3 linked regions of the Oryzias latipes genome follow. The protein of the gene in region 1 interacts with the protein of each later gene in a pairwise test. Links are inferred from orthologs where the notes say so. Each region holds a gene or a part of one and is shown in the gene's direction. Other genes may lie near its edges.

What was found.
Region 2: the proteins of tpp2 (region 1) and polb interact in binary tests that used the Homo sapiens proteins (3 or more experiments, as listed by UniProt). The two-hybrid records come from large-scale screens. The link is inferred for Oryzias latipes from reciprocal best matches to the Homo sapiens genes TPP2 and POLB.
Region 3: the proteins of tpp2 (region 1) and ppp1r16a interact in binary tests that used the Homo sapiens proteins (3 or more experiments, as listed by UniProt). The two-hybrid records come from large-scale screens. The link is inferred for Oryzias latipes from reciprocal best matches to the Homo sapiens genes TPP2 and PPP1R16A.

Annotation. Positions count from the first base shown.
Region 1 is NC_019861.2:16,571,028-16,575,129, forward strand, and holds the start of tpp2 (tripeptidyl-peptidase 2), read left to right. Parts: upstream 1-1,267; 5' UTR 1,268-1,465; coding exon 1,466-1,630; intron 1,631-3,621; coding exon 3,622-3,750; intron 3,751-3,905; coding exon 3,906-4,001; intron 4,002-4,102. UniProt on the Homo sapiens protein: Cytosolic tripeptidyl-peptidase that releases N-terminal tripeptides from polypeptides and is a component of the proteolytic cascade acting downstream of the 26S proteasome in the ubiquitin-proteasome pathway.
Region 2 is NC_019867.2:6,236,802-6,240,805, forward strand, and holds the start of polb (DNA polymerase beta), read left to right. Parts: upstream 1-1,196; 5' UTR 1,197-1,337; coding exon 1,338-1,398; intron 1,399-1,694; coding exon 1,695-1,752; intron 1,753-2,627; coding exon 2,628-2,694; intron 2,695-2,916; coding exon 2,917-2,991; intron 2,992-3,074; coding exon 3,075-3,133; intron 3,134-3,278; coding exon 3,279-3,328; intron 3,329-3,442; coding exon 3,443-3,494; intron 3,495-3,564; coding exon 3,565-3,619; intron 3,620-3,709; coding exon 3,710-3,782; intron 3,783-3,851; coding exon 3,852-3,922; intron 3,923-3,996; coding exon 3,997-4,004. Other genes in the region: enkd1 (enkurin domain-containing protein 1), read left to right, coding at 114-250, 386-522, 625-785.
Region 3 is NC_019878.2:14,900,647-14,904,975, reverse strand, and holds the start of ppp1r16a (protein phosphatase 1 regulatory subunit 16A), read left to right. Parts: upstream 1-1,527; 5' UTR 1,528-1,675; intron 1,676-4,329. UniProt on the Homo sapiens protein: Inhibits protein phosphatase 1 activity toward phosphorylase, myosin light chain and myosin substrates.

The DNA of each region.
Region 1 (4,102 bases):
GCCATGAAACAAGTTGTGGGGTTCCCCAAGGGTCGATTTTAGGTCCTATACTTTTTAACTTGTATATGTTGCCTCTTGGGTATTCACCAGGAGACACGGCGTTGACTTTCACAGCCACGCTGATGATACACAGCTTTACATCGCCATGTCACCTGATGACCTTGAACCTATAAACACTGTTTTAAATTGTCTTTTAGATATAAAATACCGATTATGAAAACTGAAAATGTAATAATTGGTTCTGAAGACAAGAGAGATGATTTTACCATATCTTCCGAATTTTAAACTTTCTCACTGTGTGAGAAACCTGGGTGTACTTTTTGACTCTGAGCTACATTTTATCCCACACATTAAAAATGTCGTTAGGACAGGATTTTATCATCTTAAAAATATTGCAAGAGTCCGCCCATTCCTCTCTATTGCCATCATAGACTTGCTGAAGCATGTATTAATTTTTTGTCGCAGCCGAACTCGTCAATGTCATTGAAGATCTTCTTTGCAGGGAAGATTTGCTAAAGGTCTGGGTGCTGTAAACAACTCACAAATAATGTCTTTTCTTCCTAACAATTCTCAAACACCATTTTACTGCTGCAGTGTTGCTCCTATTAAAAAAAAACACAGCTTGATGAGATCAGACAATTTGCTTAGTTTCGTTGCTTTTGTAGACTGTCTTGAGTTCATTCTGATTAAATAGGGCATATAGCTACTTTAGGCTTTCATCACAATTCAACAGTTTCCTTGGTCGGTTTTTGTTGCCTTTATAGCGCCTCTCTGCGTTCAACAGTGATATTGCATGCATTTTCTCCTGCAAAAACACTCATAAACACTTCCCCCCACTTTTTTGTTTACACAAACATTACAAGGATCAGTGTTGTACAAGCACTGTACTTTAGACATAAATAATAATTTGCCTTTTTTGGAGAGTGTTATTACATGAGATATATATTAAAAATAACTTTTCCTTTGCCATTCAATGATTTTAAGCCATGACTAATGGACCTTATGTTCCAAACATTTGTTTATAGAAATAGGAATAAATAAATAAAGACAGAAACATTTCCATATATTAAAGTATAAATCTTAGTATATAAATATTGAAGTCATTGTTGCATCAGATGCATGTACTCTGCAATTTTGCTTGACAAAAATAAATGTGCATACATGTAAACCTGGAGTTTATTATTATTATTATGACGTCAGAGTTATTGCCTGTGACACCCAGATTGCCTTTTATTACAATTCGAATAATAAAAATGAGATTCAAGTGTAGAATTGTCGCTTTGTAAACGGTTTCCTCCGTGTAAAAAATAATATTTGTTTATGTTGGTTGTCCCCGGCTGTGGATGGGCAGGCGCTGCGCCTTTAACGAGCCGTTGTCCCCGGTCTCTCGCACCCATCACCGTGTTGCTCTCCGTCTCTTCCCCATTTCGCTGCTTTGAATTTATTGTCGCTCTTTTGTATCATCATGGCTGCTCATTCTAGTGAAGAACCGTTCCCCTTCCACGGACTGCTCCCCAAGAAAGAGACCGGCGCCGCCTCCCATCTGTCCAGGTTCCCCGAATATGACGGGCGAGGGGTGCTCATCGCTATCCTCGACACCGGAGTGGATCCCGGTGCCCCCGGCATGCAGGTACACTTGACCGGCGGCTGCCTCGTGTTAGCTTAGATTTAGCAGCTGGAAGCTAAGAAAGCTAAAGGGCCGACGTAATTTCTACGCAGTCACCGTAAGACACAAGTGAACCCACATGCTAGCAGGAGCAAAAAACACAACAATAAATCTCTTTTTATTACATTTTATGATAGTCAGACTATTTAAATTAAAAGAAGAAATACTTTAAAGTTGGTAAAACCACCTGTCAATTTCTGTTAGTTCCTGGAATAGTAGAAAGCAAACTAGCATCACATTAGCGTGTACGGTAAATCACTTGCTAGCCAGGAAAGATACTCCATTTACTATTAACTTTTTAGAAATTGCTAAGCATATCAGCTAACTGTTGCGTTTTCTTATGAAAGCCTTAAACCGTGATGGCGAAATAACTGTCGGTGAATTAAACTGCTGTCACAATTTCAAAGCTAAAAACAGAACCCTGTAAACACGTTTACAAATATATAGGATAAAAGGTCACTAAAGTGGTTTGCAGCTACTAAGCTAGCTTTTTATTTGTAGCATTTACTAGCTTAAGCAAAATACTTGGTCCCATCAATCCGGTTAACAGAAACAGAAGATAAAACTAAATGAAACATTTGAACTGTCAATTCAGAGTGGAAGCTGTGCTAGTTTCTGGTGTTAGATTTCTAACAGCCAAAAGAAAAGTAAAACATACAAGACACAAAACGTATTTCTTTTCTACAGGTCATAATTTGAAAATTGTGTAAATATTAGTGTATTTTAAAATAGAAAAATAGCAATTTAACAACAAAACATTAATAAAAACATAAAAAAGGACATTTTCCAAGTAAAGACATCATTAAAAATAAGATATAAAGAAGACTGGCCAAAGAACAGATAGTTGAGCATACGTTTTAATGTATATATAGCTAATTATGTACTTTTATTGCCATATTTAAATAAAGAACTACACTTTTTTTTTCATTTGTCTTTACTAATAAAGATACAACTTTTCTGCTACCTTGACCTTAAAATAATTTCACCAACTGTTCACAAATAGAAAAAAAAACACCCTAAATTCATATGGGGCTAAATCAGTGTTCAGTCAAATCTCAATCTCTGTTCTGTACTGTTGACTGGTTTTCCCTTGTTTTCATTCTAAGATGACATATTTTTGTCTTCTTTTGTCACTGTGCTTTAGTGACTATAAACAGCTTCTTATAATTAACCTTACAGCTTCTGTCAGATCAGAATTATCCATCCATCTATTTTTATAACCTGCAATATCCCTTAGAGCTCACAAGGTTGCTGCAGCCCAGTTGTGGACAAACCAGGGCCCGGGGGTCATGTATGGCCTGGGCGCCAAACTGGAATAAATTATATTGATAATCTTTATAGAGGTTTTATTTTCCACTCATAAATGGTTCTCTGCAAATAAAGTAACCTTTGCTGAGATGTAGAAAGTTATTTGCTGTTTTTCTGATGTTTCTGACCATTCCAACTGCAGATGAACGCAGCATTTCTCTAATTTAGCATTTTCCCTGAGGGAGATCAATCCATCTGTGCAATTGGCTCGAAAATGAGAACAAAATCCAAAATGTTCAGTTTTAAAATATATAAACCCATTTTTAATCAGTTCAAGCAGGTTTTCATCAAGATTCCGTGTTATTATTTCTTCCTCTGATGAGGTGGACTACCAAAACGTCCCACACATCAGCTCCAGCTTCGTCAAATTTTAGAACCCTCTTTGGCCCACGAGTCTCAATCCAAAATACATTAAGAAAAGTTTGCTCACCCCTGCCATAGCCTGTCCTGGCTGCTGTTGGGTGAAGGCCGGGTAAATCATGGACTGTTGCAGGGCCAAACAATCACTCCCACACATGCACATGCAACATGCAAACATGTAAACTCCACACAAAGGACCCTGCCCGAAATTGAACCAGGGTTGTTTCTCTGTGTATAACTCTAAAATAAATCTATTTTTCAGCAGTACTATTTTTTATTTTTTTAAGGTCACAACTGAAGGGAAGCCAAAGATTGTGGACATCATCGATACCACAGGCAGTGGGGACGTGAACATGACTACGGTGGCAGAAGCCAAAGATGGGACAATCACTGGTCTGTCTGGTAGAATACTTAAGGTGGGTTGAGAAGTCTCTTGAAAGAAACAGAATTGATGGTTAAGAAAACAACAACAGCTACTTCTGAAATATTCTGCCTCATGTTAATGTCCTCCATCTGAAGACATGTGTGTTAACTGTAAGTCTCTTGCTGTGTTTTTTTTTACATCTTTCAGATTCCTCCAGCATGGGTCAATCCAACAGGGAAGTTTCGCATTGGAGTTAAAAATGGCTATGAATTCTTCCCCAAGGCTCTTAAAGAAAGGATACAGGTAGGAAGATGTGATTGTACTTTAGTGTTTTGTTATTTTTTTATGGGTAATTTAGCTTTTTTGGCTGTTTTGAATCCTAAGAAAAAGAAGTGCAATATATT
Region 2 (4,004 bases), on another chromosome or scaffold:
TCAAGTTTGTTTTTAAAACTGAAGAAATAAACATTCAAAACACATTTTATAAGAAAAAAGCTCTCTGGTGTGTTGGATCCATGTCTTCGATCTTTTCTTTGTCCCTTTCTAAGGTGCAAGGTCAGGCAATAAACTTCATCAGACACAATGCCAGAGCCGCAGGAAAAACTGTGACTCGCCGTTCTCAGTCACTGACAGACCTCAGAGATAAACCTGTGCCCAGCGCAGTCAAAGGACAGGTCCCGCAGTAGTAAGTATTCCAACAAGAAAATTGACCTTCTTAACAGGCTTTAACTTATCCACGATCCCCTCTGAGATGGAAAAAGTTTTGATAATCTAATTAATAACTTAAAAGTATGTTTCGTTTTGAACATTGCACTTACAGCCTTGAGGAAAGGAAAGCACAGTGGCGCAAAGAGGAGGAGGAGAGAAAAAGAAACACACCCGATCCTACAATCCCACCTGGTCACACCTTAATGCAGGACAGTGAAAGGCAGGAAACACTGAAATCTCTGAAAGATAGTATGTATTTACCTTCACCTTTAGTTGATTTTGATACTTAATACACCACGTATAGTGTGAGACTTTATAGTTCCTTGGTTAATTATACTTTTTCCTCCTCAGCTCATCGCACCCTGGTGATGGAATTAAACTCACTCCCTCTGAAAGCAGACAACCTGAGTACTCGCTCACGTCGGGCTCATCTTGACTGCAGGCTTTCTGAAATTGAGGAGGCAATAAAGATATTCTCCAGGGACAAAGTTTATATCAAAACTGATTCCTAACATCTCAAGAAGAGGATATATAAAGAGGATATATAGGAAAGGGTGGAATAGGATCCTTAAAAATCAACACAATTTAGATACTGCTGTGGAAATATACCCAAAAAAGTTGTACATTAGATTTATTTGCTTTGAATGCATTTTTTATTTTATAAAATGTATACATGGTATCTTGAAAAACAGTTGTGTATCTGCTTGTAATTTATTTATTTTGCTTTTGAGCTGTATTTGATGTATTGTAGCCACATAACTGTCAGTAATGAAAATGTATATTTTTCTTTCTTAAATCTTATCCAATAATACTTTGTACAGAACCAGTGTCTTTGTCTTTTTATGTATTATACCCAATTTAACCATAAATACACTTGAATCCTTTTTGACGAAGTGCGCACGCGCAGCCCCGCCCCCACCATGTCTCATTGTTCAGAGCAAGCTAACTTTTGCTAACGTGGTAGTCAGAAACTGACTGACACCTTGCAGCTTGTAATCGCTTTCGCACGCAAATATTACTTGGGAATTTTTTTTAAAACACTACAATAGTGAATTACATCCACTATGAGCAAAAGAAAAGCACCACAGGAATCTCCAAACGAAGGAATAACGGACTTTCTCATCGGTAAGTGAAGTTAAGGTTTGCTAGCAGAAGCTAGCCTTTCCATTTAAAAATAAATACCCACATATCTTGCTAATTATGCTTTATTGAGAGTGGCCCCGTTGATTATGTTTCTTTCTCGTCAGTTAGAAAGCATCAAGGTTACTTTGATGTACAATATTTAAACTTAATGACTATGATAAAATCACTCAAACATAAAGCCGACTCTAAGCTAGCAGAGTTAAGCTGATGAATGGGCGGATCGGTGTTTTGAAAATCATGAGAGGTGGGAGAATGCCTTAATGGGTTTCTGTTTGCAGAGTTGGCCAACTACGAGAAAAATGTCAACAGGGCAATACACAAGTACAATGCTTACAGGTATGTTCGGGAGAGTAAGGGAGTGTAAGCCCCATTGTTGTTGTTTTTAAAAATAATTACTATAGCAATGATGTCTGCCCAAAACATCCCCTTTTCACAATTTTTACATTTAAATATGTCCATGCTCTTTGAATCCTTCCTGTGAAATACAGAAATTTTCACTAAATCTTTCATAGAGCCGAGAACCTAACATTGTGCTTTGTTTGTGTTGCATGATGAGTGTGTGTTTTGTGGTTCCTTCTGCTTTCTCTCTTTGCTGCTCCCTTGGTATCGCTGCACCGAATCATCCGCCTCCATCCACTAAACCTCCTCTGCATCCTCCTCACTCACACTACCCACCTTCTCCTCAACAACATCCATGAACCTCCTCTTTCCTGTAGCTCCAACCTCAGCATCCTTTGATCAACATTATCACTGTCCTTCCTTTGAGCGTGTCAAAATCATCTCAGTCTGCTTCCCTGCATTTATCCTCAAAACATCTCACACCTTTCCTTATCTCATCCATCCTCATCACACCCAAAGAGAACCTCAGCATCTTCATCTCTGCTACCCAAAGCTCTGCCTCCTGTCACATCAGAGCCACTCTCTCTAATTCAAAAACATGGCTGCTCTTACCACAGTTTTCTGCGGCTTTCCTTTCGTTCTTTCTTTTGTTACACTACACACCTTCCTCCACCCGTTGCAACCCGCTTGCACATGCCTCTTTTCCCACACTCTTTGTTGTTCTGGACTGTGGACCTTAAGTACTTAGTCCTCCATTTTCTCCACCAACTTCTCAGCAACACGATTTTCTTATCTTCTTCAGTCAGAGTTTAATACCTGCGTTGATATTTTTTTTTTAATCTTATTTTTTTTACCTCTTTCATTCATAATAGGAAAGCAGCATCTACCATTTCTAAATACCCAAGCAAGATTAGGAACGGAGAAGAAGCAAAAAAACTGGTATGTGCTGATATATATATATATATTTAAAATATCTCCTATTTGATGTGAAATTTTCCGAATTGTTTTTTGTTGTCTTAAGAATGTGTTAATGTTTTAAGAAGTGTTTTATGAGCTCTATCTGAACCTAAACTATTTTGTTAACTTACATTTTCTATAACTCCTGAAAATGCTGAAGCATCCGCCTACGTATTTACATTCAATTCCTCTTTCATGATTCAGGATGGTGTTGGTGCCAAAATAGCAGAAAAGATTGATGAATTTCTACAAACTGGCAAACTAAGAAAACTAGAAAAGGTGAGAGTTTACTGATACTGCAGAGGATGTGCTGATAGAATCCATGTTGTCACACAAACTGATTTATTTATGTTTTTCGATAGATCCGAAATGATGATACCAGCTCTTCCATCAACTTCCTCACTAGAGTTACTGGAATTGGGTATGTTGGTAATGTTATTCGTATAGTTGGATGACATGGTTTTTATTGACCTTTACAGTGGTCCTTCAAGAGAAGCTAAAAAAGTTATTTCTGTTCTGCAGATATGATTTAAAAAACATATAATTAGTGTGTCTTTTTTATTTAGCCCTGCTGCCGCCAGGAAGTTTTTTGAAGAAGGGGTGAAGACATTAGATGGTTTGTAAAGTCTCTTATGTGCATTACTATTATGTGACATCAGTATGAATGTGTTGCAAATTCTAAAATGTTTTGCATTATGTTGATTTTCCGTATGTTCCTATTCTTTTGCAGATTTGAAAAAGGTTGAGCACAAACTTAACCACCATCAAAAGATTGGACTCAGGTAAAGGTTTGACATTTACTTATTCAAATACTCAAAAATGACTGTTTAGTGACTAATCTGCTTCATTTAGGTACTTTGAAGAGTTTGAGAAAAGGATCCCAAGAGCTGAAATGGAACAAATGGAGGTAGTTTTTCCTTTTGCTTCTATGTTTTCTACTTCCGGGCTGGAAAGTGTCGTGTATTTGTCAAGCTTTTCATCATCTTGTGTTTTTAAGGCTCTTATCATTGCTGAGTTGGAGAAAATTGATCCAGAATATATTGGAACAATATGTGGAAGCTACAGAAGAGGTGATCTTTACTGTCTTTAGTCATTTTCTTTACTGGTTGGTGGCGTTTGTAACTGTTTATGGTTTCCAGGTGCAGCGTCGAGTGGTGATATTGATATTTTGCTGACCCACCCAAACTACACCTCGCAGACTGAGAAACAGGTAAAAAGTAATCTCATGAATACTTTTATTCCCATCTTTATCTGCAACTCAGTTTTCTGTTCTTTTGTCCTCAGCCCAAGCT
Region 3 (4,329 bases), on another chromosome or scaffold:
TGTGAGATTTGATGGTTTTTACAGGTTCCTCCTACCGGTACATAAATGTACAACAACCACACTTGTGTACACAAACACACCCTTTGCATTTGCCTCAACCTGACTGAAGTACTTTCAAACTGAGGTACTGGATGTCACAATCATGACACAGAGTTACGTTATGTTTACCTATTCATGGTCATTTTCTTTTAAGCAGTGAGATACTGTCATGTTTAAAATAAAGTATAAAAGAAAAAGAGTTAAAATCCTCCATGTTTCATTGGGTTTTAAGACTTTGTGCTCGTACAAAAATGGACCTTAGAAAACAAGAGAGTAAAACCATGTTGAAGAAATGTTTGTCTAAATGACACAGACCAGATTTTCAAGGCTTCAAAATGACATTTCATTTTTATCTGAAATAATTTTTAATAATGAGAACCTGTTGTACTTCTTTAAGATTTTTAATAATACTTCTTTAATTTTTTCACACTTTTTTTTGTCAATATCACATGGTGCTTATGTGAAGGTAAAAGGTACTCCATTTACTAAAAGTCACTAAAAACATGTGACTCAAACCTTATTTCACTTGAATTTTTGCTTTCACTATTTTAAGCATTAGACAAAAATCTTTAAAACTTAAGATACAGTTGCTACCATAAATAGCTTTATTGATTTTATATATTTTTCAATATCTGTTGTAATGTGTATATCCATCTTTTGTGTGTAGTGTAGCATTACTGTACATGATAGTATGTACCACGTAGAGTGCATCATCAGTATCTGAAAAGAAAAAACAACAATACCAGGTTAGTGCCTTTCTGGGAAAAATACTTTTTTTAAAGTATTTTCCAAATTTCTACACAATAAGCTCTTAAGCAAATACAAACATTGGGAAAAAAAACATTATATTTAAGTATCTATCACAGTAACTTAAATAAGTAATTCCCCATGAACCTTTCATTATTCTATTTAGGGGAAACAATTCCTGTTTTATTTTAAAGTCTGGGATGTTTGTTTTAATGCTCTGCATTCATAGTTCTAGAAACTGTTTTCCACTCATATATTTAAACGCATGTATGTTCCTGAGGGCATATATGTTGGCAAAGGCAGACATGTCCATTGATTTGGGAAAATTTGAATATTTTATGTGGGGTGCCTTAAGGGAGAAAAGATAAAATGGTAGATACATTTACGAACAACTAAGGACTTTGTAGACACAAGGAGAAAGATAATTATTAACTTAATAAAAGCTCAGTTTTCGGAGTTATGAATAGAAAATTGCGTATTTGAAGCAATCAAAACGAAATCAACCTAAAGGAGACAACAAAAATACATCAAACTTTAAATAATTAGAATTGATTGGTACCTTATAGTATATGACACACTCAAATAATTAATTATTAAATTTTTCAAAAGACGTTCAATTTATTGCTTTATCGAGCATAGGCTAAAAGTAAATTAGAAACGTGTGTCTTTTATTTCGAAGTCAAAACTTTTTTTAAAAAAAGTAAAGAAGCAGCTGAAAAGCTCTGCTTTGTCGCCCTCTAGTGGAGCCGGCGCAGAAGGAGGAGTAAGCGCGGGTCAGGTTGTTATGGTGAAGCATTTCCCCGGAGGCGCTGGCTCGAGTAGGAACGGAGGACAGTCGCTGATTCCGTTCCAGAGCCGCCGACCTGCCCGGGAGCTCCGGTCACCGCAGGTGAGCTTTCCTGTCTCTCCGGTCTGTCGCTTCAGGTCAGAGTTGTGCGACTGCTCGCTTTCAGGGGCGGTCCGTCCCGAAACGGTCATTAATACGAGGCGAGACAGAGTTTCTGTGTCACAGGTTGATGCAGCTCAAAAAGTAAGCTAACCGGACGTTATGGCAGCGCTAGCATAAATTAGTCGACTCAGCTCAACAGGTGGTCTTATTACTTTCCCTCTGTAAATTTTGAACCCAAAAACAAAACCACAAGTGTTCTCCATCATCAGTTAGCTAATCCAGGTAACTAACACGAACCGCTTACCTGCGGGGCTGAACACCTGTCGAGGCTGTCTGTCTGTCTGTGGACCGCTAGCTAATCTGCTGCTCGCACGGCAGGAATCGGGAGTTTACGTCATTTTTGTTAAAGCCGCTTTCTAGTGGATAAATTCACTTCGAGCGCGTGGAAGTGTCACGTAGACACGAATAAATGTATCCCAATCACTGCGTGGAATTGGCGCGAGGCATATCAGGGGCGCGTGGGGGACTTTTCTTGCGGTTACTTACTGCGGGTCATAGTTCAGGGCCAACCCTTGACTAATCTATACTGATTTTTATAGTAATTTGTACTAATATAATTTTTGGAGGCACACGAACAAATGAAAAAACAACAGCGCTCAGTAACGAACTTTAATATTCTGTGTTTATTTTATCTTCTATGCATTTAACACGGGGAGCATTGGAAACCATTAGGTACCATTTTTAGATAATCTTATGTCCATTAGTATTTAATTTTTTTAATCTTCTGTCTTTTTATTAAATTAAAAACAACTTTTAATAGAAGATAGTTCATAGACTTCTGTCATAAATGTCACACATAACACCACTATGAGATTATTGCCAACAGTAAACATCTATTAATAATTGATTGAGCCTCTATATGGCAGTCATCTCCTGACATTTACTGATTTGTGGCTGTCTGAAAGACAATTCCTTCAATCTTGTTCTTAAGTAATGCTGCATCTGGGCAAAGTACCTTTTACAAATAACATTTAACCACTAGGCACGGTAACAGGTTTGCAGGTTTTGTCATCCAGATTAAGACTAATTCATGGACTTTGTGATGCACAGAGGGTTAATTTAAATGATTCTTGTCGTTGGATCATTTCTAAAAATCACACTTCTCCACACAAATCTATTTGGCAGAACCTCTAAAGAAAAAATCAGATCTGTGACCTCTGGACTGATAGAAACAAAGAACTTCCTGTCAGCATTTACAGCAAATAAAAGCCTTTTGGACACAATAAAAACAGCATCAAATGTTTCTTTCCTCAAGGGTTACTCGTGTAACTTGAATTCTCAGTGGGGAAAAAAAACAAATCTGCTTTTTTTTTAGATTTATTTGACCTGATAAGATCATTTTTAGTTTCTCCCTGACATTCCCTCAAACATTCCTTACTCTCAAACTCCCCCGTCCTCTCCTTCTTCTCAATAGGTTCTTTCTTTACAGTTATGCCTGTTTAAACATGGACATAAATCAAACATATGTCGCAAAGATCCAATTGTCTCTTGTTTACACAGAATCCGAGCACTCTGACATTTATATTTGCTACTGAGCACCTCTTCCTCCACCTTCCTCATCCTCTCGGATCTCTTTCACATCATTTCCTCCACATCCTTTTGCTCCTTCGGTTCATATCCTGTGATTCTTTCTAAATGTGTCTTTTATCCCTGAAACTTGCTCCCTCCTTTCTTTATGCTGTAGAATTCTTGCCAGAATTACTGAGAGTTTTAGGGGATTTATTTGAAGCTAGTCCAATCGTTACACATAACGCGCCTCGCAGTAGACCCCCCCCTCCCTCGTTCTGTTCTTCCTTCAAGGCCAGCAGACATCAACTGTTTTCATGTGTGCATCAAAAACACAGATTGTGTCACACAAACCACCATGACAAGTTTTGTTTTGTCTCACTAGAGACTGTAAGAGGATGCAAATTGAAGGCTCGGTCTTTCCCGGATGTTTCCGTGTTTCATCAAAGCTTCATGGAGGCCGTAGTGTTTGTTTCTGTGAGCAGGTTTAACATTGAGACAGTCCAGGCTGCATGCAAGTTCACTGCAAACCCCTATGCAGCACACTGCACCTTATATAAAGGATGAAAATGGTGTTTTAACATGTTCTTGTGCCATTTTTCTGATGAAAAAGTGAAGTTTAAAATAGCATTCCTGAGGATTTCTTTATTCAAATCATTTTGAATGAGAAGCAGATAAAAAAAAAAAAGGCGTTGGAAAAAAAGATCATTTGTTACATAGAAAATGTGCTGCAGCCACAAGCTCCCTGCTCCGCTCCGCTCCATTTTGATGCATCCATTTATAGACAAATAGATCCATGTGCGTCTTTGTTTTCCTCGTCTGAGCTGGAATCTGGATCCAAACTGCTGGATGGCTCCAGTGTTGCTCAACCACTGCACGGTGGCGCAGGTTTCCTCAAGTCCCAGCTGGGGGACTGGAAACAGAACACCATACCTTTCTGGGTGGAGTAAGCATGTTCTCCCCATGTATGTGAGGGTTTTCTCCGGGGAGTCCGGCTTTCTCCCAGGGTCCAAAAACATGCTTGATAGGTTAAGTGGGTACTCTAAATTGTCGCTAGGTGTGAAAGTGAGTGTGCATGGGTGTGTGAT